Linked DNA regions of Canis lupus familiaris. The protein of the gene in region 2 interacts with the protein of the main gene of each other region in a pairwise test. Links are inferred from orthologs where the notes say so. Each region holds a gene or a part of one and is shown on either strand. Other genes may lie near its edges. The genes, in order: NUP153 and TPR.

Region 1 (3,815 bases), on a different chromosome or scaffold from region 2:
TAGCTTCATAGTATGGTTTGATATTAGAACAAACCTGTTTGTGTTCCTGCCCTTCTCTCCAAAATTTGTGCATTTTCCCTTCCATATAAATTTTAAAACAAGCTTATAGCTTGTCACACTCCACAAATTAAGGCTTCCAGCTATGGAAGGACTAGGTCACAAGGATCAAAGAGGGCACAGGGAACGAGTCTATGGTCCTGCACTAGCATCCTACGGTGACAGATGGGAGCTACTCTTGCAGTGAGCACAGCACAAACAACACACAGCTGTGTGATCACTACAGTGCACCTGAAACTAATGCAACATGTATGTCAACCACACTTCAACTACACAAAAAAACCAAGATTATGCTGGGGTGTTGGGAAGAATGCTCTCCCTCAGGAACAGGTATTAAATAGGTCTTTTATGTTCTTTCAATTTGTATTTCAATAAAATACAAATCAGAAATGTTAGAAGATACAAATGACATTTGTCCAACTATTTATTGCTGATTTAGAGGAAAGCTACGGGTTTTTATATAGTGAGCCCGAAACCACTCACCTACCTGAAGACATCTTTTTAACCATCCCAATCATGTTTCAGTTCCATAATACTGTCTCTAGACAGGGCTGTTCATAATATGGTATGGGCGGCGTTAGCGTGATTTACAGAAAGTGGAGTATGTTGGCTCACTTTCAAGTTAGTTAATGGGAGGTTAAGAGTGTGTTTCAATGGAAAGAGTATAGTGACACCACCATTATATGTGAGTAGACCTGATCTTATTTTTATTACCTTCCAAATTGTATCCATTACTTAGGTTTTGAAGTGTATTTTGAATGTCCAGACAGACAACAGAAAGACCTCCCACCCACTGAATTCCATTCTTTTTTTTTTTTTTCCAGGTTAATTCTTTGTTTCCTGTTTCCAATATATTATTCAGAAGTGTTTGTGGGTGTTCTATTTTTTTTTTTTTTTTTTGGCCTATCTGAAAATATCTTGCTCTTATATTTGACCAAATTCGGCTGATTATAAAATTAAGACCATTTTCACTTTGAGGACACTGCTCTACTATTTTAAGCACGTGATGTTACAAATTCAAAGTCGGATGCTAATCAGAACACCTGTTTATTTGTGGCAAACAGCTTTCCTCTCTCTGAAAGCATTCAGGATTTTGGCTTTGATGTCCTACAATCTCACTGGTATTTGCCAGTGAGTGGGCCCCTTAAAATTTCCATTTTAAGGCCAGAGTCTTTCTCTGCACGTAGGAAATGTTCTTCTGTCACTCCTTTGATATTTCTTCCATGCTGTTCTCATCTTCTAAGCTACTGCTCCTACAATGGCACTTGTGAGCTAGCTTGATTCAAGTCTCTGCACTTCTGCACTGACACTGAGAGATCTCAGTTCACTAATCCGACTATCATCTATGTTTTTTCAGCTGCTCAGTCCACAGAATGATTTTATTTCACCAACCATTTTTTTAAGTTTTAAAAATGCGATTTCATTTTTCCTTCAGGATATTGCTTTTTGTAATCACCTCTCTGTTTCAGGGACTAATATATTTGATGTCTATGCGCCTGATGATGACTGGTTAGCTCTATTTGGGAATGAAGGCCTGTATGTAAAGATTTAGTTAGAAAATATTTCAGGAGCTCATGAAAGAAGGCCTATTTTCCTGAATAGTATGCCAATTCCGAATGTAAAAGCTCACACAGGAGAGAGAAACATGGACAAATGGGCAACACTGTGGGTTTTCCACTAGAGCTGTATTTCTCAAAATCAGGTGTGTAGATACCATCATCACACTGTGGGGGTTTGGGACTGTTAAACTGAAAACACTATGCTCCTTTCCAAAAAGTTACCAGTTTCTCTCAACTATGTTCAGTGTAAACCATTCTCTCACCTGCTCCATTTGTCTAAATATTAGAGACACCTTGTAAAATAAAAATAAAACAAAAATAAAATTGTAACACTTACCAGCTGTAGTATTGGTTGGAGTTCCAAATGTGAAAGTGGCCTTTGTTGGCTGCTCCGATTCCTTCTCAGATGGTTTCGCCATACTGAAACTAAAGGTGGACTTTGAAGAACTCTCATCTTTGGTTTGCTCTGAATTCCCAAAGGAAAACACTGGTTGACACTTTGGCTCTTCACTGTCAGCTTTCTTCCCAAACACCAGAGAAGTAGAAGTGACTGGCTCCTGCTGTTTCTCTTCTGTCCTTCCCAAAACAAACAATGAGGCAGATGGCAGAGGGGCAGGTTCTATACCACCGAAAGTGAACCCTCCTTTGGCGGCAGGCATTTCTTCTTTTTTTGCTTCTGTCGTCTTACATGTGAAAGGAGCCACTGAAACACTCTTGGTTTCTATGGTTCCAAAGCTGAAGCTGCTCTTATTCTCGGAGGTCACTGTGGTGTTAGTAGCAGCAGGTGTGGAGTTAATAACACCTGTACCAAAGCTGAAGCCTACAGATGAAGATTTAGGTGTTTCCTCTTTCTTTTCTGGCTGTCCAAGATTAGACACCCCAAACTGAAATGGAGCTAACGAAGTTGTATTACTTAAACCAGAAGAAAGTCCAAATTTAAAATCATTATCATTCTTATTGTCTTTTTTAGCTTCTTCAGGTTTAGACTCAGACGAAACTCCAAATTTAAAATCTCCTATTGGTTTAGAAAATTTAAAGCCTTCACTCATGGAGTTTGGAGCCTCAGAATCTGAAGACACTCCTATTTTGAAGCCTCCCTGATCTCCAAACTTAAAATTTCCAGTGCTTGTTAAAGTCTGAGAAGGCCCAGAAGAGGATGATGGGATACCAAATTTGAAGGATGAAGCTGCTGGGTTTGAAGATGAGGAAGATGTGCCAAAGCCTTCAAAATATAAAAGACATCGAATTAATGTTATCCTCTCAAACAAAATGTACCCCTGAAAAACAAAGAGACAAAAGAATAACAACTCTGGAAAGGCCTTTGAAGAGTTATCAGCAATGGCCATAAAACATGAACCAGCTGCCCAAAATTCAGCAGGAGAATCACATCTTAGTCCTCACAACTATACATACTGACATACCACTTTTCATCCTGACACTGGCCAAGATCAAACAAATTTGATAAAACAGTGTTGGTGAGGAGTCTAGAACTAACAGACACTTTATACATTACAGGTAGATGCGTAAATTAGTACAAAATTCAAGGAAAGCAACTGTCAGTATTTACTAAAAATTACAAACACACGTATCCTTTGACCCAGCAATTCTACAGCTAAGTATGTACGTACGTATTTATTTATTTAAAAGAAAGGCGGACTGCCACATGCAGGGCCTCATCTGGATGTGTCTGGAGCCTTGGAAGCTTTACTGTCCTATATTTTCCTACAAACGGACCTTGATAGCTTGTCTGGAGGTCCTAGCAGGGAAGCACAACTACTCGTATACCCTTGAGCACACAGCTTGGGAAGGGTTGTATGTGGAGATGTGAGGGGAGGAGGGGACACCGCCTAGCCAGCCAGAAGATTGTCCTTACATCCTAAGTCTTTACTTAACTTTTTTTCCCCCTAAGTCTTTATTTTGAAGATAAACTCACAAACATGCAAAATGCCACATGCAATCCCAGGCAGCTGTGAATGAAGAACAAAGATGTGTCCAAGCTAATCTACAATAAAAATCAAGGGAGCAGAAAGGCAGTATGATATACAACATTTTCTAACAAAACAGAGGGAAAGAAGAATACACAGAATAAGAAAATATTTGCTTGTCATATGCATAAAGAAACTTTGGAAGAGTTTTAAGAAACTAACCAGTTATTACCTCTGGTGGGGGAGGAAAGATGGAAAATGAACCTAATGGGAA
Region 2 (4,513 bases):
ATATAAGCACAATAATTTTCTTTTCTTTTTCTTTAGCACAATAATTTTCCTGAAATTCTTTAGCACCATAGCTCTGTAGACCTAGTTATTATGCCAAAGCAGAACCATATACAGATGATGAACCAGATCTAGCTACTCAATAAATTACTTATGCCCTCATTCCATGTGTGTATATATACCACTGTACACATGTATCATATATTTTAAAAATTAAGTGCTTCAAAATTAGCTGGAAAAAATTATGACCTAAATAGCTGATGGGCACAGACCTAGTTAAGAAAAAAGGCTGAAGTGTTAACCATTCTCTTATTAGCTTCCTGTGTTCCCAAATTAAAAATCCAGCTACATCTAACAGCAAATATTATGTCCTCACTCTATAACAATCTTTTGACATTTGCGTTCTCTTATCATAACCAAAGCATATAATACACATTTCCCAAGAAAAGCTAGGACCTTAACTAAGATCTTGTGTACCTTCTAGAACTTAATGATAGGAGAAAACTAATTAAAAACAAAATTACTCGGGACACCTGGGTGGAATAGTCTGTTAAGTATTTGTCTCTTGCTTTTAGCTCAGGTCACGCTCTCAGGGTCGTGAGATCGAGTCCTGAATCGGAGTCTAGGCTCAGCACAGCGTCAGCATAAGATTCTCTCCCTACCCCACCTTGTGCTCACTCTTTAAAAATAAATAAATCTTAAAAAAAAAGGAAATTGTTCATCTTTCATAAAAATTGTTCATCTTTCAAAAAGGAAATTGTTCATCTTTCATAAGAAACACATAAGGAAGATATAGGCTTTAATCTTCAACAACATAAAAAATAATTAAGTCTCTGTCCTTAATTACATTTTCAGTTGCATAATGCTTCATGCGTCTTTAAAATGCTTTCAAACATCTCATTTGATCTGTACAGTTATGTAAGCACATGGACAGGTGGTTCTAGCCATTTCATATATCACGATTTACAAATGGCCAAAAGAGCTTCTGATAGCAGTCAGAATTAGAACCCAGGACTCCTGACCACTAAGCCTTACGTTTCTCATGTTCACCATCAAGTGAAAACTCCAAATACTACCTTAAATGAAAACAGTGACAATCAGTATTTTCATAAACAGTATGTCAATGTTTCCAAAGCATCCAAAAGTGTCTAAAAATCTCTATACTACAAGAATAAAATAAGGTTGTAAAAATACTTACTGAGCTTCTCTAGGTCAAGCCTTAAGCTCTGGCACTCTCGGGTTTCATTCACAAGTCTCTCCTGACTGTGAGACAACCTCTTCTCTATCTCAAAGTACTGTTGTTCTTCAGAAGCAGAGGAAAAAATAAAATCAAACATACATGTACACACACTGTCAATACTGCTATTTATTTTTAATAATGTTGATTTTAAAACTTAAAGACACAGTATTTGAATTGCACTCCAAATAAGAGATTTTGAGTAAAGATAAATAGAGCACTGAAAGGACTTTAACATTTCCAACTGACACATGTTTATGACAAAAGAAAATGAGACCTAGAGGGGATTTTACAACTTCTCTTCCATAAGACTGCAATTCTTCAAGGTAGGCAACAAGTCTTTACTCACCTTAGTATTTTCCCCATAAAAATCAACAGACATTTTAGTATAAAGCAGACACATGTTCAAAGAAACCTTATTACATGGAGAAAAAATTTAGATTAAAAACTGCTTTGTTTTAAAAGGTTGTATTAAAAGACTGAAATACCTAAAGATATAAAATAACTAAATTTATGTAAAAATGTGTTAACTGTACAAGAGAAGGACTGAGTGTGTCCTGTTGAGCACAGTATCAAGCACATAGGAGACAAGCGATATTTATGTATAAATAAATCAACAGGAGCCAGTGTATGTGCTATCTTCAGTGTTGGGATTCAAAGAATTATTTTTCCGACATCCAATGCTGCTTGATAATTAAAGTTTTTGAAATGACAGGGTTCAGAATTTTGTATCAATTTAGCCAAAGCAGCATCACCCCAGGTAAACCAGGGCAAATTATAACAAGAGTTTATATATTTCAGTAAGGGTAGCTGCTATGATCTTAATCCTTCTTCATGGACATACTCGTCGCTATGGTCGGCGACTTCCTTTCTTAAGGGCCTCCTGTAAGTACGTCTAAACAAGCCTTAACATATTTTCTATTAAACTCCAACGTGTAGAGAGAATTCCGATATATCCAACTCTTTTACGTTCACGGTTTCCAGCGCTGTCTTCCGCACGTACGCGTTTAGGTGAACATCTAGTTCGCAATCGGACCAGCGCGAAGGACTGAGGAACAGAACTTAGCGCACGAAGCAGTGCAATTAGACAAAGGCCTCTGAATGCAGGTGACCAGAAAACCGAGCGGAAATCACCAGCAGAGCAACAGAGAGACCGGGTACTCTAAGGTTAGAGACAGGGGCCGCAGACTCCCGCTAGTGCGGAGGAAAAGAGACCCCCGATGTGCGCCCTACACCATCAAGGGACCCTACAGGAGACCACCCGGACCACAAAGAGAACGGAACTGAATGTGAAATGGGTTTCAAACAAACAAAAGGGCTGCTTTCTATCTAACCGTGAGAGCAGGTAGGCGAAGGCCTGGGGGTGGGGTGGGGTGGGGTGGGGTGTCTAAGGAGCAGGGGGGCGATGCCACCGGGGAGAGTCGCAGGCAGAAAGCGAGCTCGCAAGGGGAGAAGACCAGCCACAGCTACGGAGCCGGGCCCAGGATCCAGGGCGGGAAGAGCGTCGCCACTTACCGCTCTCCACCTTAAATTTCTCATGCCGCCCCTTCAGGCCATCGATCTCGGATTGCTGGTCAGCAAGGAACTTTTCAAGTTTGTTCTGGACGGACTTAGGCAGCTTGTTCAGTTCCGTGCGCTCCAGGACTTGCTGCAACACCGCCGCCATGTCTATCGGGCCGGTGGCCGCGGCGCCAGCCGCCGGCGGAGCAGAAGCGGAGAAGAAAGGCGAAGACCAAGAGGACCCAGAAGCCTGGGCGGCCGCCTCGGCCACCTCGCTCCGAGGCTCGCGCGCGCCCGCCCGCCGGAGACTCCCGCGGCGGGACCCTGGGAAACCGAGTCCCGCCTCAGCGCCGGCACCAGCCGCGCCACAGCGCCCGCGCCCGGACTGCGCGCGCAGCCGCCGGAAGCTGGGCACCCTGGGAATCCGAGTTCAGAGGGGCCTCTGCCCCTGCCCGGTTTCCGGCCCCCCCCCACACACACACACCCCGCCCGGGCCACCCGCCTCAAGCCCCGCGGGCTTGTGGGAAACGTAGTGTTTTTCTCAATCCCTTCCCTGAGCCTGACTGCGCAACGCCCATTCCGCTTCCTCTTTTCTCCCCGCCCCACGGCTCTCCTTTCCCCCCGCCCCCCCGGCCCCGGTCCGGCTGCTTGGCAGCTGTCCGCGAGGTGGCGCCACAGAGTATCCGTCCACTCACGTCGCTCCCTGAAGAGCAAGGCGACCTTACCGTCGAAGCTCCGGGATGCCATGGGTCGTCCTCTTTGGCGGCTTCTAGACACTGAGCCGCTAGAGGGCATCGGTCCGGGCAGGGCTGGACGGCAGGCCCCGGGCTACCGCCACGCTCTCAATGGCGCCCGGAAGGGGGCGGGGTGGCGACCGCAGTCGCCTTGGCTGAGGTGCCGCGGTGAAGGAAGGGGGGCCGTGTGCGTCATCAGGCTGCGCCGCCTGGCTCCGGAGACCCTGGGTTTGGCGTGGGAAGTGAGGTGGGGGAAGTCTGTCGCTTTTTGATGAATTCATCGGTTGTGGACTTTGGACCCGAGGGGCGCCTGGCCCCTGGAGGCTTGTACGTGCACCTTAAAGCCCCATCTCCGGAGGACCACAGTTCGACAGGTGTGTGTCTGTCACGCGTGCACGTGAGGAGTGAGTGTGTGCATTTGGGCTCGGAGAGCCTCCTTTTGAAGGAAGAAAGGGACCGAGGGTAGGAAACGTACGGGCAGACACTCCGGTACAGGTCCGGTTACCGCAAAACGCTTTATTTGAAACGGCGCCCTTTGGTGCCTTTTGTGTGTGTTGGGGGGGGGGGGGGGCGGGGCGGGGGGGGTCACTACCAGGACCCACAGGCGCTTAAGGAGCCTGTTTGATTTTTCAGGGAGAGGATTTAAAGAAACCGGGAGGACTTTGAGTGTGACCTCTGGTTTTATGTTTTGAGGTAATCTCGTAGAAAGTGCTCCCAGCGTGTGTTCCTATTTCTAAGATGGAAGAAGCGTCGCGACAAAAGTTTTAAAACATTCTTCAAAACCGCTGACCGTCTGGCCCCCGTAATAGGACTGCTTGTTTCCAGATGGTGAAGTCTGCGACTTGGAAGCTGAATCTGTAGATTATTTCATGTGTAATCCCCCTTCCGAAAAGAACTTGTTTCAATGAAGCATTCCCAAGTCATTCTCCCCTGCAGTCTCCCGCAGCAGCAGGCCTGTTGTGAATATTGAGTAAGGATGTGTTGGGTTTTTCGCCCAAAATATGTTGTAGGATTGTTTGAGTTAAGAAGGTTGCTGGTATGTTGT

What was found.
Region 1: the proteins of TPR (region 2) and NUP153 interact in a two-hybrid assay, tested with the Homo sapiens proteins (3 studies listed by BioGRID, with this or other methods). The link is inferred for Canis lupus familiaris from reciprocal best matches to the Homo sapiens genes TPR and NUP153.

What each region holds. Positions count from the first base shown.
Region 1 is NC_049256.1:17,834,877-17,838,691, forward strand, and holds part of NUP153 (nuclear pore complex protein Nup153), read right to left. Parts: intron 2,839-3,815; coding exon 1,954-2,838; intron 1-1,953. UniProt on the Homo sapiens protein: Component of the nuclear pore complex (NPC), a complex required for the trafficking across the nuclear envelope. Functions as a scaffolding element in the nuclear phase of the NPC essential for normal nucleocytoplasmic transport of proteins and mRNAs.
Region 2 is NC_049228.1:19,322,279-19,326,791, forward strand, and holds the start of TPR (nucleoprotein TPR), read right to left. Parts: upstream 3,112-4,513; 5' UTR 2,901-3,111; coding exon 2,750-2,900; intron 1,301-2,749; coding exon 1,196-1,300; intron 1-1,195.